Drosophila melanogaster: one gene and its partners. The protein of the gene in region 3 interacts with the protein of the main gene of each other region in a pairwise test. Each region holds a gene or a part of one and is shown on either strand. Other genes may lie near its edges. The genes, in order: C15, Pih1D1 and Hs6st.

Region 1 (10,250 bases), 1.5 Mb from region 3:
TGGCAAGGTAGTATTTAGTGAGGTACTGACAAAGTATGGATAGCTATTTGAGATGCGATTTAAAAAACCTTAAAGCTTGAAACTAGATATGTTTTTTAGGAGTTAGGGAAGGAAAGGTATTAGTCTATATTCCCTCCTTATTCATTAGCTAGTGGACCATCTCTACCCGTATATGGCGATGTCTTTGGTATTCATACAAAGTATTCCCGGGTATGTTTGCATTTTAGATTCGCATAAAGGTAAAACTGTCACCAATAATAGCCCAGCCCTGACCGCACATAAAATCCTTGCTGCGCCATCCTGAGAGAAAGTGAGACAGATGCCTGAAGTCAGAGAGGGAGCGCAAGAGATGGCTATAATCAGTATTGGCATTTTAAGTGACACTTGGTCTGCAGAGCTCGGCAACCCCCACAAGCCCCGCTGTCACACCAATCTGGATCACATCCCCCAACCCCAACGGCGAACCAAAGTCGCGCCGTGCTCCGCCATTTGTATATGAGCCAAATAAAAATGCATACCAAATGAGGTTGGCAGCACTGCCAGGATTTCGAACGGCAGGAGCGGTTGGAGCGACTCCTGGGGCGGTATTATTCGGAGGCACTTGCGCCAAACTTTGCTGCTGAATATTCCATGAAGTTGCCAATAAAGTCAAGTGGCAACGACTGAAGCTGTGGCTGCACCAGTTACAGTGCATACACTGAAAGAAGTTCGGGCATTTATTCCAACTAATTTGGTTTTACCTTCGGTAACAATTATAAAATTATATTTTTTCAGACATTGATTATTAGGAATATTCAGCTCTGAGAAGTTAAAACTCCAAAAGTACTGTAAAGATAACAATTAGATTCCAGAGGTTGGTTTTATCCTGTATCCTTACCCTATAAAGCTATGAGATTGGAGCTCCAAGGTTTTAGACCAAGCGGGTACGCCAAATCGGTGATCCTTTAGGTGGGTACTAAAAAAATATCCTACAACTAAATATAAGGATTTTCACAGAAAGTCGACAAGCAGTTAACTGATTTAAAGTTAATTGAATTTCACCAATAATCTGAAAGACACAACCTATTCTCCCAGTGATTGTGTAGATACACTTAGGCTAAGTTTGTTCTGGTTGTTGCTGTTTTGTCTGCCACCCGACTGCAGTGCGACGCTGCATACTAATTTTCCACAGCCCTGCCACCGCCCATCGCCCACCGTCATCTCGTTCTCATCTTGGAATCGGAACCACCACCACCAGCCTCTTAGCCATCTCCTCCTGCCCCTGCATGAATGCGATGTGGTGGTCTGAGCCTCATCATTTCGTATTCATACCAAGCACCAATTCCTCGTCGTTGCTGCCGCTGCAGTTATTGTTGTTGCCTGCTATTAAGTGAAATAAAAGTAAAAATGCAATAAAAATGTTGGCCGCCTCTCGTTTTGCATTAAAATTGCATTACAATTGCCGTGGATGGGGCGCTGTTGTTGCTATCTTTGTTGCTTTTATTACGGCAATTGTTTCTGCGTTGTTTCTGCCCAAATGAAATCCAATTAGCCGACTACAAGGCCTACCAACCAACGACTGCCAGCAGCAGCAGCAAAACAGCAACAATGACATTGCGAGGCGGTACGAAGAGAAATGGAGTTCGCCTCGTGACTTTTTCCAGAGTCCTTTCCACTGCCAAGTGGTGTGCGTGTGCTTTTGTGTGCCTTGCCAATTGAATATGCAGTAATTGCCTTTCTTCATTTTTGGCCATGATTTTTTGCTCGTGTCTGACACAGAAACATGGCCAGTTAAGTGCAGAAATGAATATTTATAGTCGTTACTTCTAGGATCGGACTCCGTTTAAATGCAAAGTGAACGGTTTGATTCTGCAGCCCACTCTCAAGAAAAATTGAATAATAATCAAATTATGAATAATGATATTATAAAGATAGGTAAAGATATGTAGATATAATTAACTAACATAATTTAACATTGAACAAAAAGCTGCATATGCAGCTTAAAACCAGTGATCAATATGTACATACATTGGCACTCTTTTAAATCACAGAATAGTATTTGTGAGGTACAATATAAGACCTTAAAGCAAATCATGTTTAAGAGTAACCAAACTGTGCAAGTAGAGATATAGTAACCCTTTATTATGAAATATAGATATAATTATCCTCTGACCAGTAGCGAATCTCCTAAGCGTAGTAATGCATTATCCAAGTTATCGCAAATAGGATTTGGGATTTTCATAACATTGCCTTATTCTGAAGGGGTTCACATTCCACATCTCGACTCAGCTATCTCAGCTAATGAAAACGGAGTACGCAATCGCTTCTGGCCACACACACGCATTCCATCCAGGCCGGCTAGAACAACACCTGAAACTGAGACTAAGACTAGGACCGAGATCCCGGCCAGCGATGAGCAGTAACATGGCTCGTGCCCAAGAAAAACTGTCAATTAACCCGTGGGGTGAACTTGTGGAAAATGCCAGAGCTGCTGCATCCACTGCATGCCGCGCAATTTGCATTCGCATGGCCGGGGCAAATGGATTGGATTCCTGTGGCTTCAGCTCGAGTCTGCTTATCGCAATCGCCGCCTGCCAAATGCCAGGCGATAGCGCGTAGAACTCTTGGCGCTAATAAAGATCTCAGTAGTAAGCGGTGTGAGGTGGTGAGGGGTGACATTAGGCGGTGGTGCAGGGCAGCCCTCCTGGCCAAATCCGCTGCTTTGTGAACTCAAGCTGACAGAACGCTATTTCCAATTGTGCTATTAATCTGCCACATTTGCACTTCCGCGGAAAAGAGTCGGCGGGCGGATGTGATCTCTTTCGCTCGTCAGTTGGCTGACTCGCTCTGCAGGGGTGATTTGCGGGCGAGCGAGTGAGACAGAGCGAGGCAGAGTGGTAACGCTTGGCTAACCTGAAAATAGAAACAATCGAAATAAAAATACATTCTCTTCATGCTCTCGTCTAATAAAAAACCCCAAAAGCAAAACGTTTTCCATTTAAAATGTCGTCGCAACTGCCAGCGGGAAGTGGACGTCGAGAGTGGCAAGTGTGTGGGGCAAACTCCGGCCAGCGGCCAATGGCGGTTGGCCGAGGCCACGCCCCGTGGCTCAATTACCGACCAGTGCTGCCCATCGGCGGGCAGAGCGAAACCTGTTTCCACGAGCGAGAGGCAGTCAGGCGCATGTGCGATCAGAGCGGGATGGATGGCTCAAGGGTGGACCAACCAGAAGAGGCAGGTTGCTGGTATTATGGTAGGTTAGGTTCAAACAAGGTGGCAAACTGGCTCTTAACCGAAATAGGAAGGAAGTCGGCAGCGGCGTCGACGTCGGGCAACTGGTTTGACTTGTTTCCGGCTCACTCCAACAGCCCAAACCCACCAGCAATCGGCAGAGGCAGCCAAGTCGGCAGAGGGCAGGCAGAGCAGCGGCCGTCGGCACAATTTGATTGCATTTATGAAAAGCGTTTTCGCCCGCTAGCACGCGTCCGCTCCCAGCTCGCAATTCGCCATCCGTAATCCGTAAACTTTAATCCGTAGACCGTAATCCGTGAATCCAAAGCAGTTCTCAGTTGGAATTTCCCGCAACGGGTAGTGCTTAAGCGCGGAAACTGAATTGAAATCAATCGGACGATTAGTGTGTGCTTCGCGGTTGAAACACTCTACATCTAACTATTAAGAGAAAAGAGTGCCCAATAAGATTCGAAAAGTGCAGTGAGCGAGCTCCAAATTGGCGCCACTAATTGCCAAAATGTCCAGCCACGAGGAGGATGACCATGAGCACGAGAACGAGCACGGCGAAGAGGTGGAGGAACAGGAGATCCACGTGGATGTGGACTCGGACTCGCGGATGTCATGTGGCAGCGGATCCGATGTGGATATGGACGGCGGCAGCTGCTACGACGAGTCCGAAACGCCATTGAGGTGAGAAGGAGAGCTTTTAAATAGAACCAGGAAGTAGGAAAAATGTCCCAAAAATATAGATATTATCAGTATAGATATACCATAAATAAGCAGATCTTCCAATTACAATAAGACTTCTACATATACATACATATATTATTTTTTTAACTAGATTGTGATAAAATGCTTTGGCTTCCGTACTACTTACTTAAAACTGAAGAGGCCTTTTTTTTTAAAATTCATTTTGGTAAATATTTTTCAAATATGAATAACGTCTGAATTTATGTACGTTGCAAAATCGAACAATAAAAAATATTTTTGGTTTAATTGTATCGTAAATAATCTGCTACACTAAACTTGAAAAGAGATTGCATCTCTATTAATAATAATAATGGCTTTACTTTCAAATTATACGATGTACAAACATAATAATTGGTCTGAAACAATTCATTACGGAAAATCCCCAAAAAAAATATATTAAAGAAAAAGCTCAGTTTTTCGTTTACTCTTGATGGTTATGATCATCATGCAAATTAATAAATATTTTTTTGTAAGTACTGGGCTTGATTTAGTTGGCCACATTATTCGTTAATTACTCATAAGTCAAAATTTAGATCGACAGCAATTTGATCGACTAACTGAGAGAAAAAGATCTATAAGCTATAGTTATAATAGTTGGCATACAGTCTTATTTTATTGCCCTATAAAAGTCAAACAAGTATTGTGGCGGAGAAAAGCTATTTGCATTTGTTATTACGAGCTCATAACTCCCACTGTTTTACGATCTTTAACATTGTCACTCATAATGCTCACAAATCCTATTTTTCGAATCGTGGCTCAACGCCATTGAAATGCGTTGATGTTTAAGCCCCATTGTCCGCTCTTACAAATGGTCCCATTTTCCAGCGACAAAAGGGGATAACAAGATGCCAGAGCATCCAGCAGACCGTGTTAACTGATCCCATTCAAGCGTTTGTGCGCTTAGAAGAACAGTGTGAACAAACCTCTTAAACGCTAATGAATTGACCACAAAGCCACCAAAAGAATCAAGTCGAAATGTCCCATAAAGTGCCAAAGAAACTCCCTGAATTTACATAGTTCACGGATGGCCAGGGTTTCCAATAGACGACGACGATAAAACGCACATTAGTAAGGCGCCAAAAACGGGCTGTGATAAGACATTGGGGTCCATTTGGGGCTCAATCTGGAGTTGGATCTTCGGCTTGAATGCCGGACAAAGACGAAATCGTTTGTCGGATTAACATTTTAATAGAGATCGTCATAAAAATGCCATAAAACCCGCGTTCCAGCGAATGTAGATCACCAGATAGCAGCAAGTTTTGGCCAGTGAAATAATATGTGTTTGCTCATAACTTTTGATATTGGAAAGTGTCTGTGTGTCGGTGGTTGGCGATTTGAGATCATTGTTCCGATACAATTCCATTCCTGTTCCAAATGGGTTTTTACTTTTTGGATTTATAAATTAAATGCCGTGCGTGACTTGTTTTCGGTGCGTCAGTTGATGGCATTTGATGATTTATGGGCGCGTATTAAATGCCTCTAACGGCCGTCAGCATTTGCATAATTACTTCATTTCCAGCCGCATTGCGTATACGCAGCGGTGGCCACACGGGTTCTGCATGTCATGTCGTCAACTCGGCTTATCCGCTCGCGTGGGCTTTTGGTTAGTGGTTCCGAGACTGGTACGCACTGCAACAGACTTAATTATAGTCAATGTTCTCAGGCTTTCCCGCTTATCGGGCGACACATTTTAATGAGCCCGCACCTCCAGAGGGCTTCTTTCCCTTCGATTCTGATGTCTTTTCTCCGGTTTTTATTCCCAGCGAGTCCCTGCAGTCGGAGCAGACGCGCTCCTCGTCCAGTGAGAATCTGCCCTTCAGCATATCACGCCTGCTATCCAAGCCCTTCGAGACGAGTCACCACCACCACAACAACAACAACCACCTGCTCAGCAGCAGTCCGGGCTCCAGCAGCAACAACAACAACAGCGGCGAAAAGGGCGAGGAGAAGGAGCTACTGCAGCAGGAGGACCACGACCTGGCCTATAAGCTGGCCACCAGCATCGCCAACTCGACATACGGAAGCGCCGCAGCACTATACTCGTATCCGCATCTCTATCCCTCAGCGGCCGGCGGTCATGTGCTACGTGTACCGCCCCAGAGAACGCCGCTCACCTGGGCACTACCGCCACTGCATCACGCGGCGCTGGCACATCAGGCGGTCAAGGATCGGTTGGCAGGTGAGTGAATAGCAGCGAAGTCAAGAGGGTTTGCCAAATCCAACCCATTCGGGGCCCCCATGTCGGGATGGCCCATGTTCGCCGAGATCTTTCGGGGGAGCGATCCTCCAATGACCCGCGGTGGCAATTGCTACTGTTCCCCAAATAAGCACGATCAGAGAAGACTTTTAAGGCAACATGCCTATCGGCATGTCATTGTTGGCCAACACATTCGTGCACCAAGAGAAAATGTGGCATTTGAAATAAAAGAATTGGTAACATTAAGAATAAAAATGTTATATATGTGCCTACATAACGCGTAGTTGGATGCATTCAATTGTGCAATAGGGTGTAGGAACATAATTTTAAACTTCTTGATAAAACATATTTTTGTATATTCATTGTTGAAAATAAGGTGCGAAGAACGTTGTCTAATGGTCTAAAAGGGCTTACTTACATATTTCCTTATAATATAATTACGATGGTCTATTAGATGGTATTTTCTGTGGGTAAGAAACAGCTTAAGGCTAGAACACAGGTCTCATAATACGAATTTTCGCTCAGTGTACACTCACTCTGGTGAGCTTGGGATGCTAAAGTATAAAAACATGTTTGCCTTCAAATGCGCAATCGCAGCTTAAGTTAAAAACTTAACGCTGAGCCGCCGCCCAGAAGCGACTCAGGAATGAGATGCGCCTTCTTATTTGCATGCGCATGCGCAGTTGAATTTGTATCTGTATCTGTCGCTGGTCCTCTGAATCCGTATCCGAATCTGTATCTGTATTCCATCTGAATCTGCAACTTCACGTGCAGCTGGGTCTTCTGGCTCCCTTTTTGTTAATTTGTTTACATTATGAGCTTCACTTGTAGCTACAAGCGATGGGCACAGCGCGAGCCCTTTGAAATAATGAGACGGCGTTGATTTTATTACGCCTCGGCAGCCGAGGGATCTTCAATGGTGTGGAAGGGGGATCCCGATAGGGTTCGGATCCTATAACTCATAATATTCGGGCCTTTTTCGGCCTTGTGATGTGGAAAAGCTGCTTAGGAGCAGCGCAGCCCGGCAATCTGACGGGCTTTTATGGCCGACATCCGCCCAGTGGTTCTGGTTAGCTGTTTGGCCTTTTTCTTCATTTTAGTTATTTTAATGAGCTGGTTTACATGACTTTTTAATTTCGCGCTGCGCTCGAAAAGGAATTAATTACGCATTGGGCGGTCGCTGGGCTCAGCGAGTGAGTTTTCTGTCCTCGCCGGCTTATTTATCGCCGCATACCGCACTTCACATTTGAGTCCAACTGACATGGTCAGCTTTTAATTAGCCAGTCGAATGCTGGCGATCCGAGGGCTGCATATCCATATCCATACTTGTGTGTATATCCGCCGAGGAGGGGCATTCGATCGAGTGGATCGTATAGAATGGAATGGGATCGGATCAGTCACTTCGAGTCGACTATTCCACCTGAGGGGCACACTTATGAGCCCGCCGGGTGATCCAAGCTTCTGCCGCTCGGTTTCGTTTTGTCAACATCTTCGTTTTCGTCTTGGTCTTGGTCTCGGCCAACGTCTGTGTCTTTTTGTGTTTATTGTGTCGCTTGCCTTGTGGCTGATAAGCTGGCGCCTTGGCTTTTTTCATTAACAAGACAAACGAGCGTCCAGGGTGCGGATCCGATCCGATCCGATCCGATCCCTTCCCGCGACCAAAGTGCTCCTCTCTCTTCCGCCGGGGCCCTTAGCGCCATATGATTAATAACCATCGCATGTTAATTCTCGTTATTTTTTGGGAAACTACGTCGCAGCAGGCGCCAATTACTTTTCGGCCATGCACGCCCTAATGCAGTTTCATAACAGCCATAATAGCCTGATTGGAAGGGAGTTGGGCTTTTGTCACGACACTTGCCCACACGAATGTTACCAATCAATGGCGGAGTAGGATCTATAGGCTAGTGTATAGAAATTCCCTTTACTAGGGAGCTCCTTTAGTAATTTAGTATTTAATATTAAAAAATGATGTAAACTCCGTGAGACTGTATACTAATTTGCCATTTAACAGTTCCCATTTGCATGCGCTTTGATTGGTTACGTGCTAGTCTTGAGGTAACTAGTATATAACTAATCCAAATCACTAGCAAAGGTCAGAGTGCAGCACTTTTGAAAAGAGACCAAAATAGCGGAGTGGGAGGAAACCAGTCCCAGCCACAGGCCGTCATCAATAATGCATGCTAAAAGCTTTTTGCATTATTTTAGGTATTTCTGGTGAGACTTCTCGGCCGCAGCCACACACTCACCGCCATCTGTATCTTAAAGATACTTGTGTTAGCTTGTGCGAAACATCATAAATAAGCTCGGTGGAGCACGGTGGAGTGCCGGAAAGCTATAAAATTATGCTTATGCGCCTTAACCTCCCTCTAAGCGGATATGTTACATCCTTGAAGGATACACACATCTGAGCTGCGGCAGAGGGGAAAATCCCGAGGCTGCTGCTTATGTGGTGCGATAAATGGCTTTTTATTGAAATTGATATTGCCTGAAATATTCAAATGATCGGCAAGCCACAAGACCTCCGACCCGAAAACCTTTGAAAAATTTATGCACCCAGCCTCGAAAGTTTATCCCCTGGGCGGGAAAAGCCCGAAAAAAGGGTTACCGAGAAAAGTCGCAATAAGATGCATGATTTGTCAGCTTAACACCCGCCATTCGTTCGCCGGCATTTGATGGCTTTTGACAGCCCAACGCCATTTTCCTACGCCAACTTGGACACCCATAAACACAACTCAGTTTCAATGGGAGCTGGTCGGGTTTAAAACGAAAAGTTATATGCACATTGAAAAGGTTTTCATACTTTAGAAAGTATTCCAAGGGATTGGGAAAATCCGACTTACGCTGCAAATCATTGAACATTTACGCTCCAGTTAACGAGTTGCGCGTGTATTTTCAAAATCATGTTGAATGTATCGCTAAAGTTTTTAGGTTCCTTAAATAAGTTAAGAACTGAGAAAGCAGTACATTCTGCTTTATGCAATGCTAATGAGCACACTTGAAATTAGATCATTTAAACATTTGCCACCTTTACTGAAACTACACGTATTTTTCTCTACCAGGAATGATATAAACAAATTGCTTTTTGCATAAATGTATTAAGATTTCTTTCAATCATGTTTTTTCGTTGTCTGCGATTAAAATGGCATTCAAAGAATTGAGTGACAGTTGATTAATTTGAATAGTTTTGTGGCATTATCAGTATGGTTTTAAATTAATCATTGCTAAATTGTGTTAAAAATCTTTATTAATAATGAAATAGTTGCTATTTTCCCGGCGGCGTTTGGCCATTAAATTGCACAAATGCTGACCAGCTAATTTCCCTCCAATTTTTCACTTGACCTCATCTGCGGATCAGTCAGTCGGTAATCCGGTTTCCTAATTGTCTCTCGTGTTGCGTTGTTGTGAGCGAGTGGCCGAACGCCTTACAGTTTCGGCGCGCACTGTGCCCGCCTTATCGCGCCCAATAAACAACAAAACACACACAACGGCGACTGGCAGGAATTTTAAAAGGTTCAGCGCCAGCACAGGCTCAGCCACCGTTCCGCGCCCGAATCCACAAATCGAGAAATCCACAAACCAAAAACCCAGAGATCCAGACTCGGACACTGGGTCACTTATGCGTCCTCCGAGCGCGACTTTATGACTCAACCTCAATCCGAATGGAAATGGATGTCGCGTGCTTTGTCTACAAGAGGCGGCGATAAGGGCTCCTGCTAGACCGCCGCCCGAAACCTCAATCCTTGGCCATTAGGCAGCAAGGCAGCGAGCCAGCGCGTCAGCGGCCTCCAAATTGATTTCCCAGCGGGAGGGGTCGTATTTAGCCACTTAGCCATTTAGGCAGCCAGGTAACAGCTATGAGCTAACAGGTATCGAGTAGCCAGCAGCGCTAAGTACTCGCAGGCGCACAGGTGCCGCCGCGCAACTCCGGAAGCGGCGCTCGGAAATGGCCAGTTATCTAGGAATTTATTGTTTGCTAATTGCCCGCCAGGACACTTACCGCACGCAGGGGAGACGGATACAGATGCAATCGCAGGACTCGCATCTAAAATTCGAGAGGGTTTCCTTGCTGAAAATTGTATAACAAGCCCCTTGT
Region 2 (13,115 bases), on a different chromosome or scaffold from region 3:
GTAGTTTGAGGAATACATCCCGCCGCCGCCGCCTCCTCCACCACCACCAACGCCGCTGGAGCTCCCCATTCCGCGCCGCTGGCCAATGCCGTAAGCGTCGTTCTTCATTTGGCGGTAGTCCATTCCGAATAGTCCTTGCCCGGATTTACCTTTACGTCGAGCACTCGCCGCTGCTTCCAATTAACTGGCTTCTCTGCGATTTTTTCCAACACAACAAACGCGGCACAAAAAATGCTTTCCTTTCCCCGAATTTTTCACTGTCTGGTGCCAGGGTTGCAAAGCAATGAAAGCCGGCTGCTCAAAATGGTAATAAGTCCGATTCGAAGTTGGTATTTTTATTGAAAAATACTGAGCGTGATAGAAAAATACCGCTATTGAATTAGTTAGGAATACCTTGCAATAAATTATTATTTATTTATATTTTAAGCATTATGTCAAATGTGATTTGTTATAAACAACATTTGACAAATGTATAATTTCGGTTTTGATTCGGTAATATTCTGAAAGCCATCTTCCAAAAAATTTCTTTAGCAAGATATTTATAGAGAAGAAGCTTACTGTATAATTTCTTTTCACTACTATCGTAGTTAATTAAAGAGCTATATTTTATAGTAATATTTACTAATGAATTGGTTGTATTAAGTATTATATTATATTACATACATACTTACACTTTCACTACCAAAGAAAACACACAACCTGAAAATATTGAATCACAAATTCTTTTGAAAAATGTAGAATAAAACATGAGCACGAAAGTCAAACCAGGAAAACCAACAAAAAAAAAAAACATTACAAAAATCTATGAAAGTTAAATATAAGCTAGCTGTTGCCTCGAAACCGCTTTTTAATCTACACTAGTCGGCATAAGTATTTTGACAAAATAAGCGCAGCACATTTGTCAGTGTGTAAGTAATATAAACTTAAAAATTAACAAGCAAAATTTTTTTTATTGAAACTTAAAAAGATATAAACAACTTAATAAAATATGATGTTTTTTTCTTTCGCAGTCAATATATGATATCATTTGAATATATAGAAAATCCAATCAGCCCCTTTTTTTCAGTTTCTAATAAAATTCAAGAATAAAATAAATTGTAAAATTTGCGCCTTTATTAACATTATCACAGCGGGCATTATTCATTTATGTGCCTTTTTAGTTACTGAACACTGGAATGCGAACATGAAGCATCTGAAAAATGGGAAGAAAGAACAGAAATTAAAGATTTGAATCCTCCAAACTTGGTGCACTGCATCACCTTGGTGGTCTTATCGAACAGAGCTTGTGCACGATCCTGCTGCAGACGGTAGTTGACGAATTTGTTGAACACATAGCCATACTTGCGGGTTTCCACCACGATACGATCCTCGCCGACAAGGAGACTGAACTCCTGCGAAGAAACCTGCGGATTGATGTGGTGACATAAATAAACTTCTTTTTCTCTGTGCATCCATAATAATCTTACGTAGTTGGGCAAGTAGATCTCAGCATGGATTTCGTCAACGGACTCGTCACGAACTCGACCACGAAGTTTGTACTGTATATCCAGAAAACCGCCGCCTGCAGACTGTCGACTCTTCCTTATGGCAGCAGCATCCTTCTCGTCGATCTCCTGCACCAGTTTTCCGGAATTTTCCGGTGCCACAGCCCCACCATCCCGGCTGTTAAGAGCAGCAGGAATGCCGGACGTAGACTGGGCCCTTTTCATATCTTCGTTGCGCACACGATGAGTGACCAAAGTGCCGATGAACTTGCGATTGTTCAGAATAATGGTCTTTTCCATGTTGAGCTGCACATTATACTTTTCGCTCATCGCCTCAATCACAATTTGCATAAAGAAGTTCTTGAAGAGCTGCGACTTCTGGATCTTTACCAGAAACTTTGGGTTGATAGCGATGTCGCAGACATCGACGGTCTTATCGGAACGATCCTTCGTGAATCTGGGATCTGAGATGCTCATGGGCACTCGATAGGAGCCAGGAGTAGTGGATTCCAGTATGCCAATCAGTTCCTCCTCGGTGACATCCTGCGGTGCTGGAACTTCCGCTGCCTGGCACACGTTAATGAAGAACTTTTCATCACTGTTTGTCTTGAAGCTTTTCACGCAGATTCCTAATGGGGAAACAGAAAAGAGTTGAGTATTATTAAAATGGCTTGTTATCTGGAAAGTTTCTGGCAGCTAAAAAAAAAAAATAGAAAGTTGAGGCGATTCAATCGTATGGGCCATTGCAAAAGCAAACCCCTTTGTTTTATTTTGGCTTTGATTCCATATACAATCTTATACAATATGCTTCGCATTCAATTATGCTTTCAAGCCGGGATAGATTTTTTTATGATCCGGCCACGCGATCTCGCTGATTGCCTATAAATAAAGATAAGGTTCGTTGTCAGTTGAAGATAGTAGAACTTGGGTTTCCTTAAGGTTTTCAGATACTTTTAGCTTTGGGAAATGTTGTTTTCTCACCTTAAGCTCATCGAAAGCCTGCTTGGCTAACCAGTGAAAGACAGGACTTTTCCATTCTCTCGCTATGGATTGAATTTCCTTATCGCTTTTGAAATTATTAGCTGAATGGGTTTTAAGAGTGCCATGGTACCTTTCCCAAAGGTAGACCATGCTGCGGATCTTGTAGAGCCACAAGTGATTTGGAACGCCACGTATCAAGTCCTGCAACTGTTCCAATTGCTCATCAGACAAACTGTTGAGGAACTTTTCGTTCATCAGTAGGAAAATCGAACGCATATTGCGGTAGTGGCTAAAGGTGTTCTTCTCCAGACCCATGTGGCCCGATTTAAAAATCTGATTGATCGTCTTTCCGGTCATCGGTTTCCGGCCGATGGGGGCAAAGCGGTGGCGCAGATTGCGATCGCCGAACTTCTCTAGCTTTTTGTTAATCTCGCTGCCGCACCACTTGAAATCCCGCCACCAGGCGTGCCAGTCCTTGTAGTTATTGGTTCTATAGATTTTTGTCCATTCCTTGCGCAACTGGGTGCGCACCTTCTTCTTCGAACTGCGTCCTTTCCACTTGGACAGAACACCGGATCGGTTCGAGTCCAGAGATTCGGCATCGGACATTTCCTCGTCGTCCCCATCACCTTCGTCTTCATCAACATGGCCATCGTCGATGGCATATATGTTGGTGTTGTAGTTGGGCGTTTGCTCGAAGAAGGTCACCGCGTATGACTGCTCCTCCGGCTGTGGCAGCTTCTTGGTATTGCTGTTGATATAGGGCAGACTAATGCCGCCTATAATGAAGCTGCGATCTGTTCGATCCGCTCTCTGGCGTTTTGGCCCGGCTTTGGTAGCCCCCCCTAACTTTGGAGTAGTCTCAGCTTTTCTTTTTATCCCTGCAAAATTGAACATGTATTGTTTTTTGGGTATACCCGATAATTTCGGAATGCAAACCAAACAAAAGCATATTTATGACTAGCTTCTTGAAGTATGAAATGCAGTTGATAACTTCGAATCGGGTTTGAAACCAAGAAAATGTGTTTCAAAACTGGTTTATCAAAAATTCTTGTAGCTAGAGTACGATCCTTAATTTAAGGCATTTGAAAAAAAAGGGATATATTTTTAACGGGTTTGCATTCCAAATGTGGCTTTAAAATCATTTATACACTTTAAAACCAATACAAAAGCTCTATAAGCTAGCTTGTAATTGGTTTGTATCAAATTTTTAATTTATTAAGAATTCAAAAGTTTATCCCTTACCAGCGAGCGGTTTCGCCATGGCCGCGTTGATCTTGGTTGCCTGTAGTTTCGGTTTGATTACCGACTGACCAGGTTTGGATGCACCAGGATTGGTGTTCATAGGTTTGTTTGGTTGCGGTGCACGATTGTCTTGTGGAACCGCCGACTTCTTGACCATTTTGTTTGGAATATCAGGATTTAGATTTCGAGTTTGAGATGTGGTTGACTTGGATCTGGGTTGATTAGGAGTCCCAGCATTGATGCGATCTGGCCCCTTGCCAGGATTTAAATTTTTATTGATTCTACGATTTAAATTAGTTCCATCTTGTATGGGACCCCCAGAATGGGCCACACTTGGAGCAGCTTCATCAGCATTTGGTAGGCGGCTTCGTCTGTTTTGATTGGGACCCATGGGTCTGTTAGAGCTCGTATCGCGGCAACGATTTCCAGAACCCGATCCACGGAGAATAGTGTTTGGATAGTTCGGTGGAAAATTAGGGTTATTTGAGCCTTGGAATGTGTCATCCTCCCTTCGGGGAAAGCGTACGGTGTCACCGCCACGCGAATAGTTGTTTCGCTGATTGAAGTTGTCGTTTAAGTTGCGTCGATCGAGTTCTGGATCAAACTGGCGCCTAATGCCCTCAAAGTTACGATCGTTGCGATTGCGTCCATATGAATTACGATCATCGATGTTATGATCTTGGATGTAGTGTTGATTACCCCTTGAGTGGTAACCCTCATACTGATCATCATTCATAAGTGTATCATTTGTGTCATCGATGAAATCGGCATCATCTTCAAGAAATTCGCGTTCATCGGGTATATAGTCGTCTATATCATGGTGTTCTAGATCTAGATCCTCTTCTTCGTCAGTCCAGTCGGTGCGACGTAGTATTATTTGATTGTCATTCACAATACGCTGATAATTGTGCCTCTTTTGGGGTCCACGGTTTCCAACCTGGTCAGCGTTCACATTACGTGGATATGGTGGTTGTTTTGGATGCGCTTCAGGCGAACGGAATCGATCTCTTGGCAGCTGAATGCCGTCATCGCTTATAGCATTACGATCCAAGTTGGGTTGCTGATTCGAAACGAAGTTCTGATTACCAGGCCTGCGATTGTTGTTTACTTGGGAATGATCATTGTTTGGCATCTGAACACGATAGTTGATCTGGTGATTTGGTCCTTGAAAACGTTGGTTATTAAAGTTTGGGTTCTCGTCAAAAGTTTTGCGATTGAATTGTGCATTCGCATTACGATTGTTATGGTTATGTCCTTGAGGGAATGCTTGGTTGTTAACATTACGAGTATTGCGATTGAATTCATCATTGACTGCATTACGATTGTGATTAAATTCCTGCTCGTTATCATTTCGGATATTACGATTGAATTCATGCGGATAGGCATTACGATTATTGCGATTGAAATCCTGTGGATTTTGATTTCTATTGGGACGATTGAAATCCTGGGGGTTTTGATTTCTATTAGATCGATTGAAATCCTGTGGATTTTGATTTCTATTGGAACGATTGAAATCCTGTGGATTTTGGTTTCTATTGGGACGATTGAAATCCTGTGGATTTTGATTTCTATTGGGACGATTGAAATCCTGTGGATTGGGACGTGAACCCTCATTTCGGTTGAAATTGCGATTATTTTGATTGAATTCACTTCTGTCCATATTTCGATTATTTCGATTAAAGTCCTGCGCATTTGCATAACGATTGCGATTGAACTCAGCAGGATTCATGCCAGGATTATTGCGATTTACGGGTCCACAATTCCTATTGATTGGCTCCCGTTGTTCCACAACTCCGCGATTGTTGTTTGGGAAATTTTCCTCTCTCTGACGATTCCTAGAACGCGATCGATCCTTATTAGCCGGTGAGTTATTCATCCTGGCGCTGTGCCAATCAATGTTCCGCGGCGGCGACGGAGTGCGTGGCCGCGACTCGACGTCGTCGTGGCTAGCCACCGCTTCCTCGATGGCTTGGAGCACCTCCTTGTCCACCACATCCTGGTGACTGTCGCCCAGCTCGACGCTGAGGCGGAACCTCTGGCGCTGGAAATGGCGCAGGTTGAACTTGGGCACATTGAAGGTGCGCTGCGCCAAGGCGTTGGCCAACACCCGACTGGCGCCCAGGTCACGGAGAAATTGGCGCCGATTGTCCAGCTCGCTGTTGGCTATTTTCATGGTACCACATATGAAATTTAAAATTTAAAAAAGCAGACACGTTTTAGGTTAGAGCTATGTGGTCACGTTTAGCAAACCAATTCCAATCTAATCTACTCATGACGACAATGCTCACTGAAAATATGCATACAAATTTTAGTTTAAATCTATAATAGATTTGCTTTGTTTTGCATTTCTTCCCACCCTTTAATTGCTTTAACAAATTGTACAACACAAAAAAAAATGATAATTTCAATTGCATTACTACTTGATTGCCTTTTCAGTCGTTATCAAAATGCTGACTAAGTTTGATGTTTGATTTTTTGTCAATCTATAAACACTAAGCACTGCCACTATCTCATATTTTAAATTAAACATCTAAATTGATTAGATTAGAAATTCTATCACAGAATTCTATTCTATTGGTGTGTACTTTCGAAATGCATAGCAGCAAATCCTGTAGTTGTAGTTGTTAAGAAACTACTCAGTAATTATACATTTATGGCATCAAACACACAATAAACTGATAATCAATAGGTATGGTCATGCTTATACCAAAATCGTGAAGAATTCGCAACCAAACACCCATTAAATGCTCTTAATTGTATGACTACTGTTGATATCGTTATCATTTCGGCCCACTTTTGTTGCTCTTGCGACAACAAAACGTTTAAGAGTCGCGTCGTGTGTCCATTTCGGTTCAGAATAATTTCACCAGAGCAGGAAAATATGTTTAAATCGGCACTTAAAATCAGGAAAGAGAGTCGGTATCTTTCAGCTGGGTTTTATTCTGGACAAACTTGGCATTATTGGAGAGTCGGGTGCTTTGATGGCAGGGGGTTTTAATTGATCGGGCGGCCACCAGGCAGTCAGCGCCACAAAAAGAGCCAAGTTAAACGCTCTCCGAGGTGGCGCTATTATCTCATTTTTGTTGTTTTTTTTTTGAGCACGGAAAGCGCGGAAAACAAATAAGTTTGTTCGCAGCGCTCGCTTCGAATTCAGTTTGCCTTTTTGCTCGTAACGAGCCGGTTGTCCGTCGATTTTGAAGTGCTCCGCCGACGCTGCCCTCCATCCAAATCCAAATAGCGATCCGACCTCAACCGCTACGGCTCGTTTTGTTTCGATTCGATTCTATTCACTCCGATCCCCCACAACCGATTCGTTTGAATCGCAGCGAGTTTTTTTCTACGTAGAGGTAATTATAAGTGACATTTCAGTCGCATCGATACCGCCAACAACAACCACCGCCGTCCATTTTTGATACCCTTGTTGATATGTGGTTGTTGGATTCCGCCAAAGCGGAACAAGTGTGCCAGTGTGCGTTCGTATCTATGTGTTGTGTATCTATCTCTGTGTGTCCACATTCTTTGCCTGAAATTGTGAAATTTCCGAAAGGCTCCAGAATATCCCGCGCAAACATTTCTCAGCAAACGAAAGAAATACGAAAAAAAAAAAAAAGAACTGACGAGAAATCGATGATTCACATTCAAAGTAGTTTGATATGGTTAAGTGTTTTGTCATGCTCGCAGCTCGATTATTTAATTGATAACAGAAAAAGTGTAAAAATTGTGGTGCGCAAGGTTGTCGTACTGCTGTTCGTACGAACAAATTTGAAGTTAATTGCCTCGTGGGTTCCACTGACGTCACAGGCCTTGAAAGATGGCCTACGATCTGTGGGTTCGACAGCTTCTCGCCCAGTCCGATGGTAATCAAGCTCCAAGGACTCAGAATCAGCAGCAAGTGGAGCAAACAAGTGTGCGATTAGGAGCAATATAGGGTTTACGATGTGCAATTCATAACTGGAGCAACGACAAACACAATGGAAGAGTCTAGTAGGGGGACAGCAACAGGCAGCACACACGATAAGGTTCAGCTGTGGGGTCCCCGATAAGGAGCTGCTCGTATAATCATTCTCGCTATGTGGAAGTTGTTTTCTCCAGAGTTTGCACACTTGGCTAAATGCAGCCAGTCAGCCTTATCTCAGCTTTTTCCCTATTAATAAAAGTCATCAAGTGTCGAGTGTCGTTGATATTCTGTAAATAAATCACTCTTCTTTGGCGGTGTAAACAATTTGTGCCGGCTGGCATGATCTGATCCAGAACAAACAAACCGTGTGTGTCAGTCAGGTTGTGAAGAGAGTGGCGTTTTTTGCTGAGAAAATTGTCAGGTTTTCTCCTTGATTTTATGGTGCAGCCAAGAGATCTCCATGCCATTTTGCTTAGCATCTCATCGTGAGTCGACGTTTTTGTTTTTAAAGAGAAATTTCACTTGGGTGTAAAGGCAAAACACACACATTTCGTACAATTGAAATATTAGGTTTTGTAAGGGGGTTTTTTCTGCCGATTGTTTTGTGCTTATATAATCGCTGCGGGAACAGGTTTCGCCGTTAATTATATCGAACTGAAAATACTCGTTTCAGATGTGTTAGAATTTTATCTAAAGTCAAATGGCTTAAAACACATGCGTGTACGGGGCAAACAAGTTTTTGGCGCCCATAAAATGTGACTAGCCCAATACCTTTTATGAGCTCCGTTCAAGATTCGCTTAAAGTTTCTCATTCCTTCTTTTTAGTTGTGTGTATCTCTGTGTAAATTAGTTCTTCTTCGAGGCGGGGAAACACGTTTTAGTCGCTCATTTGTCATTGGCATTGTACAATCTCGCTGGACTATAAACTATCGTTTCAAGTGGGCGCGATTAGACCTTCCTCCAAGTGGCCCTGGACATGTAAACACTTAACTGCCGTAGCGCACAATAACGACGGCTAGATTACAAAACTTCGTACTAACTACCCGCTCAACCCTCTTTTTGTTTCAATACGATAGATAGTTTGTCAAATAATAGTGTGCATAGGAATTAAACTGATTTGTTTGGATAATTGATTTTTTGCCTTTGTTTTGACGAATTATCCAATAGTTAAGTGCAAAATACTAATTAATAACCATTAAAAGATTGGAAATTTGAATATACAAAAAGTGTGCACAAACTATAGTTAACTTACGGAATTAATTAAAAAATTTAGAGCAATTGATTCAATTTTAAATACAAGTAATTCGGATATGTTTTCAATATTCGTAATTGGTTTTTAAAGTCTTGTCGAAGATTCGTTAGGATGGGTTTTTCTGTCCTATGACGTGTTCCATTCGCGTGCGTTTGTTCGCCTTATCGCGGGTTCACTGTACCACCCCGAGCGATTACGCGCAATCGACGTCGACGTGAGATGTTTATCAGGTTGACATGGTTCCGCGCTCGCAGAGATTACTGTGCACACACAAGTGCTAAGTAGACCATAAACCCAGAGTCATGCCTACTACTAGCTGGCTGTAATCTCCGGTTAGATTCTCCGCGCCACCGGCAGCGATTGCTGTGCCATGTGAAGCTCCGGCTGTTGCAATGGACGCCACTTACCTGCGGTCGGCTGGACAATCAGCGAGTCTCGCGGCGGCGGTTTCTGCTGCGGGCCGCTGCCCTCCGGATCGGCGCCTCCAAAGTACTGGTTAATATTGTCCTCAAACTCGTTCTGCATTTAGAAAATGAAAAAAAAAAAAAACAAGTTCATCTTTAGTGGCGCAGATAGTTCCTCACATCGAATTTCTCAAGTTTTGCTTACCCGCACAAAGCGCAGGTTCTGGTCGCGAAAATTGTCGTTGCCCTCAATGAAATTGGAACGACGCGACATTTTGCTGCACGATTTCAATTGCCAGTTACGAGTTAATCCAATGCAAATGCTATTTTTGCGCTGAGCGACGAGCGAAAAACGCAAATTTTATTTGCCAGAATGGAGCTGTCAACTCGATTGAAATGAAAACTAATGTGACAGTGTGAACGCCGGTGGAAAAACATTTAATGCCATGCGATAGGCTAAAAATACTAGATAGGCGTTTTCCCTGTACAGGGTGCTCATTAATAAAAAGTAAATGACAAGAATTTTCGAGAATAATTGCTATGAATTTCTATATGAAACTTTAAAAGCTTAATCCAAATTTAAGAAATTCATTTGTATTTTTGCTGTTGCAAATGCAATTGATTTCTACTTGCTTCTACTAAGTTTTCCAAGCAAATGTATTTTAATAATTTATGTACAAAAATTACAAGTTTCACTTAAATCAATATAAACAATTAAAATAACACGCAGTGCAGAATTATACACTCATTTTCCATCCGACACCCACTGTGCCCGCGAAATACCAGAAAAATACTAGCAATCAACTTCCCACTGTCACGATTAGCGGTTGTTGTAGTTGTGCGGCTTGGGAAGGAACAGCTGTTGGCCCGAAAATATAGATCCGTTTATTTCCTTGCCGCTTTACAGTTACCACATCGCCCGATATAGCATACGCATATAGCCCAATTGCACGTGGAGGAGGTTGCCGAGCAGTCGAGTAACCATGGCGGATGACACTAGTTCGCCGATGGACAGATTCTGCGGATCCACGTTCTGGGTGAGTGCATCAGCAGTGGTGTTCAATCCGAATGCATAGTGTAAATGTATGGTTTCCGTGTGTCCAACGAACAGAACGCAACAGAGACATGGTATACCAACGATCCGGACTTTACGCCCTGCTTTGAGCAAACGGCGCTGGTCTGGACACCCTGCGCCTTCTACTGGGCGTTCGTGATCTTTGACTTTTACTACCTGAAGGCGAGTTTGGACAGGAATATACCGTGGAACAAGCTGAACGTGAGCAAAGCTCTGGTGAATCTGGGTCTGCTGGTAATCACTGCCCTGGACCTAATTATGGCGCTGGTCAAGAAGGGCGGCGACTCTGAGCTGCCGCTCTACGACCTGGATGTTTGGGGTCCCATCATCAAGTTCGCCACCTTCCTGTTGCTCTTCATATTCATCCCGCTGAATCGAAAGTATGGCGTGCAGACCACGGGATGTCAGTTCATCTTCTGGTTCCTGCTCACTGTGCTGTCGATTCCCCGCTGCCGCACTGAAGTTCGACTGGACGCGGAGCGCCAGAAGATTCTGAATTCGCAACAGCCATCCGAGCAGGACTTTTCCTGGGAGGAGTATCAGTTCGTTAGCTTCTTTATCTTCTTCACCTTCACCAGCATTATGCTGATCCTGAACTGCTTCGCGGACGGAATGCCCAGACAAACCAAGTACCAGAGGGGTGAGAACGAGATTCCCGAACTGTCAGCCAGTTTCCTTTCCCGCATCACCTATCAGTGGTTCGACAAAATGGCCCTCAAGGGCTATCGCAACCCGCTGGAGGAGAAGGATCTGTGGGACCTGAGGCCGCAGGACAGCTGCTCCGAGGTCATGCCCATCTTCGCCCACCACTGGAACCAGAACGTGCGCAAGAACTACAAGAACAAGGCGCGCGTAGAACCCAAGGCGCAGTTTAGCAATGGCAACGTGACCTTTGAGAATCCCCACGGTGAGAAGAATGGCCGCAAGAAGGGCATGGCCAGTATTATGCCGCCAATTTACAAGTCCTTCGGAGGCGTCTTTCTGTTCGGCGCCCTAATGAAGCTGTTCACCGACACCCTGACATTTGCCCAGCCCCAAGTCCTGAGTTTGATCATCAGCTTCGTCGAGGCCCAAGATGCCGAGCCCGAATGGAAGGGTATCTTATACGCTGTCCTGCTTTTCGTTTTGGCCGCTGCACAGACCTTTATTCTGGGGCAATATTTCCACCGAATGTTCATTGTGGGCCTGCGAATCAGGACAGCTTTGATCAATGCCATCTACCGCAAGGCCCTGCGCATTTCGAACTCCACCAAAAAGGAGTCCACCGTGGGCGAGATCGTCAACCTGATGGCCGTGGATGCCCAGCGATTCATGGAACTGACAACCTACTTAAACATGATCTGGTCGGCGCCACTGCAGATCGGTCTAGCCCTGTATTTCCTTTGGCAGCAACTGGGACCGTCTGTGCTGGCCGGTTTGGCTGTGATGATTATCCTGATCCCTGTGAACGGAGTGATTGCCAGTCGCATCAAGACCTATCAGATCAGACAGATGAAGTACAAAGATGAGCGTGTTAAGTTGATGAACGAAGTACTGAGTGGCATTAAGGTGAGTGGCACTAGGACTAGGGATTAGGTAGAAGCCTAATCTCTTAAGTATAACAATTATCCTCTGTCATGCTGACTGCTGTCAGAAGTCGATGCTATGTCGATTCTATGCTAACCGTTTTTATAATCCACATAGGTGCTCAAATTGTACGCCTGGGAACCGAGTTTCGAGAAGCAAGTGCTGGACATCCGTGACAAGGAGATTGCGACGCTGCGCTCCACTGCCTACTTGAACGCGGGCACTTCGTTCTTGTGGTCCTGTGCACCGTTCCTGGTAAGATATGCCAGCCCTGCAGGGCTCTGAGTCCTCCGAGATTTCTTTACAGCTGACTGAGATGAGTTGGACGTGTAGCATTGGACTAATCTGGCAAATATATGTACTTCGTGTCCGAACAAACAAAGGTTTCCTTGGTCACGTTCGCCACTTACGTGCTAACCAGCGAGGCGAATCAGCTGAGCGTCGAGAAGGTGTTAGTCTCAATCGCCCTCTTCGACCTCATGAAACTCCCGCTGACCATCCTGCCCATGCTGAGTGTTGACATAGCCGAGGTACAGCTCCCGCGATGGCGATGGATTAACAACCTCTTCGGCTATGGTGCACCTCTCCGCCTCTCCTATATCCATCAACTTCAGATCAAGGATCAAGAACGAACATTTTATCAACGCCTTAAACGAAATTGTGTATTATCTTTTAGGTTTCATTAGTTACATTCGCCACTTACGTTTTAATTGATGAAAATAACGTGCTTGATGCCACCAAAACCTTTGTCTCATTATCATTATTCAACATTCTACGATTTCCGCTAACAATGTTGCCCATGCTGATCACCAACCTGGTGCAAGTAAGTTACGCCCGATTGCAATACCAATTACTACCACTCTAGTCGATCACAGTGTGGCTGAGGGATTCCACTTTCCTTATAACTTTTGCCGATCCCCGGCGCCACTGTGATCGTCGATTTTGTGCCGTTTTGTGATTGTGATTTATGTTTATTTACTTAATTTGAATTCTTTTTTAGCCAAATCGAATTTACACCGAAATGTATTCCCCTAACCAAAGATCCTCCCCCCTACCCTGCATTAAATCCTTACACTCATTTATACCGAAATTGTATGCTCATCGTCACAATCGTGTGGGATTGAAAGTTGTCCGAACCAAACCAGTTCCGAATGGTCATATATCTGGTGGTTGGGTACCCATTTCATCCGTTTCAATAGCAACCATTTGT
Region 3 (10,478 bases):
CCCAGCTTCTTTGAGCTATAGCATTCCCGTTTAAATGTCGTTGACCGTAAATAATTATTGTGCATTGCCTTATTTAATGTTTTCCTTAACGTTGGCTTATGACTGCTTCAATATTTATGAAAAATACTCAAAAATACCCAAAAACCAAACCATTCCCAAAAGCACCTTACCCAAAAGCACGTACACCAAATTTAAAGCTGCCGAGACAACGAAAACCAAACCTGTTTTTTGACAGAGAAGAAAAAAAGGGAGAATGGCCCGCCAAGCTGGGCTATCAAAAAACTTTTATCAACAAAGAAAAGCTAAACCAGTCAACGGGTTTTATTTCGGCCTTCTGAGGCTGGCTAATTTGTCCAGGGGTTCCGATGCTCCTCCGCCACTGCATCCTTCGATATCTGAGCATCATCTGATTTGCAGGCTGACCACTTTTTTGATCTTTTGCGCACGAATTAGCTTCAAACAGGCGTGAATAATGACAAGCTGATCTTTTGTCTCCCGTTTTTTTTTTTTTTAGGGAATCTGTGCTCTAAAAATTCATTTGCCCCAGTCCGAGGGAGAGATGCCACATTAAAGTGCCGCCTGACTTCCTAACGCCTCTCCCTCCCCCTCCCGTATTTTACCCATCGACAACCGGCTTTATGACATGTGCGGTCTGAGTTATGAGCGGCTCTTGATTTTTTGCGGCATGTGTGGAGCTTGAATTTCTTTATGCCCCCCTCCCTGCCACAACCGCACATATATTTCAGATGGCTGATAGTTTAATTGGCCTGGACTTTATGTGCTGTGCGGTTTTTGTTTGCCCTCGTCTTGGCTGTTTTTGTGCCTCTCTTTTTTTTTGCTTTTCTCCAGTGGCTTCTGGTCTTTGAGTGAAGCGTAATGAAGACGTCACATGGCAGGCATATTAATGCTAATTGATTGTGCCAAAGTTCCTGAAATAGTTAAGGCGGCTCTGAAACTTATCTTGATCGTGCAGCCAAAACAATTAAGGGGAATATCTTGTAATCATAAGAAGAGAAGAGAAGAACCCACACAACATGTCACACCGTTTGAAACAATAAATTGCTAAGCCTGGGGTATTAAATCACCTACTAAATCATTAGCACACGATCACAGAGATCACAAAGAGCTAAAGGTAATTGAGACATTTAAGGCACAGCAGGGCCTCCGTTTCACCAGAAAGATTTAAATCCCCTAGGCGATTTATAATCTTGTGACAAATCTGATAAAGTGCCCTACCAAAAAAATTCTCAATAAAAATGTAGAAATCCCACACTCAATTAAATTGATTAACGCTGCCATAAAACGACGACAATGAAATGAAGCGGACAAACAAATCTTTGCTAATAAAACGCGTAAGCAAAAACCAAAATGTATTCACGGAGTAAACTTTTTATGGCCCGAAAGCCGATGCCAAAGTTTGGCACGATCTAGCTGGTAACGACAAGTGTTGTGCAGTTTTAATAGAGACATAAAAACAGTGATATAAATACACGAATTTCATATGCTGTTCATTCCCCTGTAATTTGGTAAGTAAACTAAGCCCAAAAAAAAAGGGGGACAAAACATATACATAAATGCGGAAAATGCGCCGTAAAAACCTAAAACAAAACATTTTCATTGTGGTTGAGGTGCGGGTATAAATTTCGGAAAACATTTCGGCCAAACAAAACAGAAAAAGTCATAAATAGTTTTCATTTCATTAGCTGCGCTTTGTGAATTGCACCAAAATCCAGACAACCACTGCAGCAATTATGAAAACTGAATATGCAAGCGTATCGAAATAATAAACATCGCCTTTTGTTTATTCAATCAGATAAAGCAAAGAGTCCAAGTGAAGTGCATAAACAAATACACACCACCTGTAATTGAACTTTGGACCTTATTTGAAATGTGCGTAAACAATTGCAGATCGGACGTCACAGCAATCACGAAATTCTCCAGCCGCAATTTATTTAAAACTCAAACATACTCAAACAACTTGAACGCGGTATTTAATTAATGGCTTTTTATCAAGACTGAATAAATATTCAGTGATTTAAAATTTGCATAAATTGAAATAAATAAAACCAAATTAGAAAAAAATATAGCATTTCAACGAGGCAGAGCATTAAATATTCCGAGCAAGAGTCAACGATGTTGTTTATGTTCAACTGGCAGATAGTGTTTACACATTTGTGGCTACTTTAGAAATGGAACAAACACTGCGAAGATAACTGTCAAATAAAGTTTCCTCTTTTACTGACCAATATTGTATGCCACAGGCTGTAAATTAAAGCTGAAATTTAAAAATGTGTCAGAAACAAAGCAATGTAACTATTCAAGTACTTATTAACCTGTCAATGATTGTTTCTTTTAGCAGTTTTAATAAATAGACTTCAATTACATTTTTTGCTATTAAGTTAAAACCTTTTTACTTTGTTTTAAGAACTCATAAACAATAATTTTTTTAGATTTAATATAGTAAAATGCACCTATTGTATATACCGAAAAAACGGAGCTGTTTGAAAACAAACCCGCCAAAGCAATCAATTCTGTTTTCCTTTCAATACCAAATTAAATGCGATTCAGTTTATCGAACAGTAGCAATTTATATTTTTTATTATCTGCCTGTCATATTATTAAATCATTTTTTCCTCGCAAGTAATGTAACATTACTGGCTTAATGATCTGAAAGAGGACTGTTACTGCTACTTAAGTTCAGCAAAGAAGGACAATTAAAAATAGCTTGTAATTTATCAGGCCAAGTAGCAAGAGTTAAAGTATTCCGGGAACAAAGTACTCCCATTGCGACCGAGTAATTTATATTCAACTTGGCCCATTAAGGTTACAAATCTGAAAGAATCACCGAAATGGGCCGCCCTCGCATCCCAAATAATAGAATAATCTGTCTGTTTTCCATTGGACACGCAACCTCATGAGCCCAATTTTCATGTTTGCCTTTCGCCACACTAATACAAGCACTAAGCATATTTTTCGTTTATGGCGCGTACAACTAATTAAGCTATTTTTAAAGACGGCGAATTTTCCAACGTACGCATCGGCAGGGGGCGTGGCCACGCCCTGCTCGTCACTATGTCTGGCCAGATCGCGTGCGGAAAACAGGGAAAACCAGAGGGCGAGGCAGCTGCGCTCAATTAATGTCATTTTGGCTAGCTATTTCAATTTGGAAAATAGTTTAATGCTCACTGCAGACAGACCCGCCGATAGCAAAAAGCGAAAAGCACGAAAATATATAGAATAAACATTTATATACATATATCTGTATCATAAACACAGCCATTTGACATTGAACTCTTGCTAAAAGTCACGCCCACTTGACTTCTTTTTCGGTTCTTGGAGCATCAACGAATTTGTTTCTTGTTTAATTAAAGACCGCCAGAACGAAATTGAAACATTTTTCAACAGCCACACATATGATAGAACTCATCGAGGCGTATGTATTTATGTATGTACATATATTAAATTTTTGTTTCGCCTGCAATTGGCAATTGATGACCTTCTTCAAACAATTTCATCGTGGCTTTTTTTAGACGTGACTGGCACGAGCTGGATTAATAGTTAAATATATCCAAAGTACGCAAGTATATGAACACCGCGAGGCAGCAAAAATTGAAGGAATAGCGACTGGTGCGGGTTTATGTGTCCCCAGGGTAGAATTTTATGTGCTGTTTTGCCTCGGTTCGGTTTTTATGGCCCACGAATGCACTTTACACCTCGGCCATTAAATCATTCATTAGATGCGCGGGGGGAAGCCTTATTAGTCCAACAGATAAGACAAATTTCAATCAACCACGCCGAAGATTTATGGGCGATATTATGAGTAGTGACCCAAATATACCAACCAGAAATCCATAGTTGTTTGTAAACTTTATGCTACAGATTAGACTAATTTCAATACGGGGCACGCGTGTCAAAGATTTATGAATAATAACACAGAAGCACAATCGCCTGCAAGCGAAATCTTATTATGTTACACATTTTCCATTTTTGGAGGAATTTCATTAGCACCTTTGCGTTTGCGTAAACAATTTCCGAGTTTTAAAGGCGCCAACCGAAAGGCTGTAAACAAAACATTTTGTTTTGTCTAATTAAAGCTCCCAAAAAATTGATAAACATCGAGAAAGAGTTCTATATTATAAAAGCTGTCTTTAGCGCCGAAGGGAAAAACACTCCAACGCATATTTTTATACGAATATTTTAAATAATAAATTTATTAATGCGCCATAGCAAAACAAGTTTCGTGCGATCCAAAAATGTATGAATGGTAATTCCAATAAAAGCACACATGTACGGCAAATATTAATGAATAAATTCAGCATTTCGCCAATTGGTGTGCTAATTTGCATTGGAGCCAAGTAACAGAAAATTATAAATTATAAGCAATGGGAATTAATGAGGGGATTTGGCACTTACCTGATCTTGACAAAAGTATCCAAATCCGATGATGCCGGCGATGGCCAGGAAGAGGCAAAACACAATGATTGTTCGGATTTTGGAGCGCGGTTCCATTTTCTTGATTTCATAAACACCACTGGGCAGCAATAAGGCAAAATCACTATCGACTTGAACAGATACGTTCTTATGCATATCCCCGGGCATGTTCCATTCCCTGGCCTCCCTCGAAAATCGCACTAAAGGTCCAACAAGGGTCCACCCGAGTGGAGTCCAAGCGGGTATCCGTATCGGCCTAGCGCAACGAGAACCAGACGCGAATCGGAGGCGAGGCCAACTCAATCATACTTCAGTCGCTGCCCGATAAGAACTCGAAAAATGGGAACACCTTCGCCCATTGCACTTGGCGCGGAAATGGGTTTTCCTTGTCTCTCGGCTTTCAGTGCCTGCAAATGGAGTAAGAGTGAAAAACGGTTAGAAACCTATTAGTTTTGGGAGCACTACAAAAGCAACACCGTTTCCGATTAGTTACCACTTGACCATGCCGATAAAGCGGTCTGTCAAATTGTCTAGCCCTTATCTAGCCACTTACTTAGTAGCTGAAAGCTCTTCAGGGGAAAATCAAAAATAGTTTTTAAGAACCTAAATCTATGGCAGACTGATAAGAAGTTCACAATTAAAACGTACATACATAGTTAATTGGACTTTCTATTTTTTTGTTAGGGTCAAAAACTGATAAGCAGGCGGTGAAGTTGATTTATCGTTTAATCTGACCCTATTTTAATTGCAAATCTATTAGTAAGTATTCAAGACGGGCGTGAATAACAAACGTTTGTGCAATAACAAATTTATCTTTATTTGTGTGGGAAATCTTAAATTAAATTTCCACGCGCGAATGCGATCTGCAAATGTATAGCGTAACGATAAAATACATAAATCAACCAATAATGACGCAATAGTGGAAAGTGAATGGCGGAGCCGAAAGCAATGCATTTAGTATACCCTTAATCAATTAAAAATACGTTTAAATACGTTTATTATTTAAAGCAAAAAACCTACATCCGTACATGATAATACGTGCAATTACTCAAATAATAACTTATTATAGTTAAAAAATAGTTTGTACTTATTTCATTTAATATTTAAATTATCTAGTGATTCTTTATTTATAAGAACATATTGTAGTTCAGTTATAAAAATAGTTATCAATAATATGGTAAATATAATGAATGAACAGCCTTTGTTGTATGGGTGATTATTATCACAAGTCGCTTTATCTGGCTTCGATATTGTTTATATGTGATAAACCCGATTGGAAAATGCGTAACATATTAGGGTTTGAATGATATTGACTACATGCGAGTAAGTTGCATTTAGGTAGGGTATTTAAATGTACAAACACCCAACTAAAATAACTGGCGATCGGCAGTCGGAGTGACGCCCAAGCATAACTGGTGCCTTATATTTATGTAGGCGCTTTTTACTTCACGATCGGTGCTTCTGTAGCGATCACAATTATTGTAAACAAATGGAAAAGTTGCTTATTGGCAAATTGGACTAACAGAGAGACAAGAAAAAAAAGGCAGATGTGGCGAAACATGTTGCCAGGCAACAATAACAAAAAAGCATGCATGCTGTGCACACATGGCCGTTTAATTCACTTCTCTGTACTCTAAACTATACTTAAACCATGCTAATTGCCTACCCAAATTATCAGGTTTTTCGAGGCAGTGACGTCAGGGCAAGGAGTATAATTATAATAATAGAATCAAACGATTTAGCAACATTGCAGTAAAAAAAAACAGAAGCAAAGGGGAGCAACAAAAACAGAGAGAGGGCAAAATAAGAGAGAGGACAACCAGACAGAGCGAGATGCCAAACAACAGCTGTTCTTCTTGCCAGATGCGAAATGGGCAATTTAATGAAATTTATCTAGATTTCACTCACTTTTCACTTGCCAAACGTCGTGTTTGTGCACTTTTCACAATTGTCGCGGCGTCACACGTTTATTTATTTACATTTCTCTGCGTTTCAGGCGCTCGCACGCTCAATTAGCGCGCTTTCCGCTTTGTGCCACACATTCTGTGCCAGCCACAAAAAAGCCCGCAATTCGCACTTTCATGTGTTTTCGGCTATTTCTGCGATCGTTTTTCCTGCACTTGCACTGCTCAATAGCTAATGTTTAGTTAATTGACACTTTCTAAGCGTTTTGCGTATATTTTTTACGAATTATTTTGGCAAAACGACGCGGTACCAGCGTCAACGTCCGCATTCTTCAAAATCGGCGAATGAACTGAACAAAACGAACTGCGCAAGTTGGGCAATAGGAACAGCTGACCGCGCTGCCAGACTGCCGAACGGAAACTCGCTGCGAGAGTCTGGCAGCACTTGCAACCATCGATATAAACTATTGGTAACGAATATTTAAAGAATTAACTTTATAGTTCCATTGAAAATACATACATAAAACAACTATAATTATGATACCTAACATAAAACATCGTAATATCTTATTTATAGTTATCTTTTGTATGCAATATTCAATTTTAAGTTAATTAGATAAACACCAAACGTTTTTTTATTTGTGAAAATAGAAAAAGAATTCAATAGAAACAAGTTTTCAAGGCAATCTGCATATTCTTAAATCCAACTTTATGGGCACTTTTGAATATTCATTTATTTTGCAGCCCTAGCAATCGCTGAGCGATAACCATAAGTTGACTATCGATAGCAGCAGAGCGATATGCAAAACAAACGAAAAAAGTAAAAGAGCGGTGTAAAGCAGACAACATAGTTTACATTTTTTGCAACAAGTTTTTCAACTTAAAGCCAACTCCCATCGTCCAATGGAGGTGGACCAGATTCCCCTGGCCGACGTGGTCTTCGTCATCGAGGGCAGCGCCATCAACGGAGCCTACATCAACGAACTAAAGACCAACTACATCCTGCCGACTTTGGAGCACTTCACCACTGGCTCCATCGACGAGCGGGAATACCTGATTGCGGAGCGCTTTGCCACTCTGTACGGTATTGTGGTCTACCGTACAGCGGCCAATCTGCTGGAGCCAGTTTGTTCAACCTATGGTCCCTTTCTGCAGCCCCAAAAAGTGATGGAGACGATCGAAAGATTGCCACTAGTGGGAGGCGGAATGGAGTCCTGTGCCCACATGGCCGAAGGATTTGCTGCGGCCCACGGCTGTTTTGATGACATCAGCGAAAGGCGCCAGTTGCTCGATCAGACCAGCGTCCAGAGGCACTGCATTCTCATCTGCAACAGTCCGCCGTACCAGATGCCCACAACGGAGTCGTGGAAGTATCCGGGCAAATCATGTGAGCAGCTGGCGGCGCTCTTCAACGAGCGCAAAATCAATCTCTCCATTATTGCGCCACGCAAGATGCCGGTGTTGTTCAAACTTTTCATGAAGGCCGACGGAGATCAGCCCATTACGAGCAAAAACTATGCCAAGAACATAAGACACCTAGTGCTTCTAAAGGGATACAGCCTCAAGGAGAGAGCACCTAGTCCCAACAGCATGGCGGCCCAAATGGCTGCACCCAATGCGGCACAGGCTACAGTGCAGCAGCAACAACAACAGCAACAAAATCAAGCTGGTCAGCAACAACAAGGGCAGGGCATGCCCATGGACACCACTCCAGCCCAGCAGCAGCAACAGCAACAACAACAGCAGCAGCAACAGCAACAACAAGGCAATCCTCAGCAGCAGGTCATGAACATGAACACGATGCAGCAACAGCAGCCCGGTCCAAATCCCCCAGCGGGCTTACTCAATCCACAGCAGCAGCAGCAACTATTGCAGCAGCAGCAGCAGAATCAATTCGTTTCCAATCAAATGCAGAATCAGAACTTCCAGCAAAACGTGGGACCCGGCCAAAACCGCTGGATGTATCCCAACCAGCCTGGTCAGGCGCGTCCGCCCTTCATGCAGGGAGCAGGCAATGTGGGCGGTGTGGGCCAAGGCGGCGGCATGCAACAGAATCCAAATTCTGCTCTGATATCGCGCATTAATGCGCCGCCGCCGAACCAAACTGTGACCTCGCTGCAGCAGCAGCAACAGCAGCAGGCGCAGCAGCAGCAGCAGCAGCAACAACAGGCCCAACAGCAGCAGCAACAAAGGATGCAGATGCTGAGCCAGCAGCAGATGCTAAATCACCAGCAGTTGCAGCAGCAACAGCAACTGGCCCAGCAACAGCAACAGCAGCAGCAAGGACAGCAACAGCAGCAGGTAAATCCCAATGCAGGAAACAATATGATGCCGGCTAGCAATGCCGGCAACATGTCTAATCCGCAGCAGCAGCAACAACAAGTAGGACAACAGTCGAATCCGCAGCAGCAGGGCAATCCGCAGCAGCAACAGCAGGGAAATTCGCAGCAGGAGCAGGCCTCCTTGAGGGAAAAGATATGGACCGGAGTGCTGGAGTGGTCAGAGAAGCCAAAGTCCGATCAACAGAAGATTCCCCATACACTCCAGTGTACCGTGTGCACCAACATCAAAGATGGCGAGCCCGAGATCAAGGCTGAGAACTGGCCGCCCAAGCTGTTGATGCAGCTAATGCCCAAGCACCTAGTTGGCAATATTGGTGGGCAGTTTCTCAAGGACTCGAAAATGGTTGTTTTTCGACCCACTCCAGGAGAGGCACTCGATTCGCTGGCCAAGATGATGACCTCCGGCTATGCTGGCTGCGTCCACTTCTCCTCCATCCCCAACTCACCAGCCTGTGACCTTAAGGTTCTCATCCTACTCTACACGCCCGATCGCAACGCTTTTCTGGGCTTCATTCCCAATAATCAGGCAATGTTTGTGGAACGTCTGCGCAAAGTCATACAGCAAAAGCAGCACGGCAACATGCAACAGCAGCAGCAACAGCAGCAAATGATGCAGCAGCAAGGCAAGTCGCCCATGGAGCTGCAGCAGCAACAGCAACAACAACAACAGCAGCAACAGATGCAACAGGATAACTCGCAGCAGCAACACTACAACCAGTTCCAACTCAATATGCAGATGGGTGGTGGAGGTCCTGGCGGCGGACCTGGTCCCGGTCCCGGCGGCATGCCCATGCAACAGAATCAAATGCAGATGAACATGATGCAGCAACAGCGAATGCCACTGGGCGTAGGTGTTGGCGTGGGTGTTGGTCCCGGTGGCGTGCCCAATCCAAACCTCCAGCAGCAGTTGCAACAAGTGGCGCCAAACGTCGCCGCAATGCAGCAGCAGCAGGCGCAACAGCAGCAGCAGCGCATGGTGCGTCCCATGATGAGCAACAACAACCCGGGGCTGCGCCAGCTCTTGCAGCACCAGACCACGCCAGGCAATCAGTTCCGGCCGCAAATGGGTGGCCAGAATCCCAATCAAATGGGAGCAGGCGGTCCAATGGTCGGCAATCGCAACTTTGACGACGGAAACTATGAGTTCATGTAGGCTACTTAAGAGTATCGTATAAAAAACCAGAATTAAGACAGTAAAATATTTTATAAAATCCAACTGCAAGTCTTTTTTGGGGTAGTGGCAAAATCTATTTCCCAAAATCGAAATATTAATTTCTCCATTTTCATAACATTTCGTTTATTTAATTAGTAAGAATCAAGGGAAATCCGAATTTGCACAAGACTTATATTAATCACAGAACATAATCTCCGAGAAAGTCCACTAGTTTGCTCCACCGCCGCCGCCCCCCGAGGATGCGGAACTTGCACTTCCAGCGCTAGCGGCAAACACCTTGCGAAGATTCTGCAAGATGCTGAACAGAACCGTTCCCGCGCTGCCCAACGTTTCCAGAACATCGAATCCGGTGCTGTCGATGGCTGTCTCCCGATCCTCCTCCGTTTCGATGGCCGGGGAGCTGATGTTCCCGCCATTGTGGTGAGTTTCGTGGACGCCATGGTGTCCAATCAGCCGATGAGTATTGCTCTTCACATGGGAGTCGTTCACGCCGCCACCGCCAACTGTGTTTATCAGGTGCTTCACCGGCTCCAGGACCGGAATATTTAGCTTAATGCGATGCCATGCATCCGCAGTTTCGGTGAAGCCCTCATGCTGCTCGCCAGTGGCCTTCATCTCATCATCCAG

The links.
Region 1: the proteins of Hs6st (region 3) and C15 interact in a two-hybrid assay, tested with the Drosophila melanogaster proteins (one large-scale study listed by BioGRID).
Region 2: the proteins of Hs6st (region 3) and Pih1D1 interact in a two-hybrid assay, tested with the Drosophila melanogaster proteins (one large-scale study listed by BioGRID).

What each region holds. Positions count from the first base shown.
Region 1 is NT_033777.3:21,496,531-21,506,780, forward strand, and holds the start of C15 (C15), read left to right. Parts: upstream 1-3,455; 5' UTR 3,456-3,727; coding exon 3,728-3,900; intron 3,901-5,723; coding exon 5,724-6,139; intron 6,140-10,250.
Region 2 is NT_033779.5:12,712,184-12,725,298, forward strand, and holds Pih1D1 (PIH1 domain containing 1), read right to left. Parts: upstream 9,661-13,115; 5' UTR 9,539-9,660; coding exon 9,470-9,538; intron 9,380-9,469; coding exon 9,268-9,379; intron 7,058-9,267; exon of another isoform or gene 6,862-7,057; intron 5,874-6,861; coding exon 3,711-5,873; intron 3,347-3,710; coding exon 2,466-3,346; intron 2,364-2,465; coding exon 2,304-2,363; 3' UTR 2,213-2,303; downstream 1-2,212. Other genes in the region: CG5787 (uncharacterized protein), read right to left, coding at 1-123; MRP (Multidrug-Resistance like protein 1), read left to right, coding at 10,248-10,301, 10,376-11,887, 12,023-12,160, 12,289-12,435.
Region 3 is NT_033777.3:20,001,822-20,012,299, forward strand, and holds the start of Hs6st (heparan sulfate 6-O-sulfotransferase), read right to left. Parts: upstream 6,692-10,478; 5' UTR 6,340-6,691; intron 4,839-6,339; 5' UTR 4,600-4,838; coding exon 4,414-4,599; intron 1-4,413. Other genes in the region: MED25 (mediator complex subunit 25), read left to right, coding at 7,239-9,830; CG17190 (uncharacterized protein), read right to left, coding at 10,059-10,478.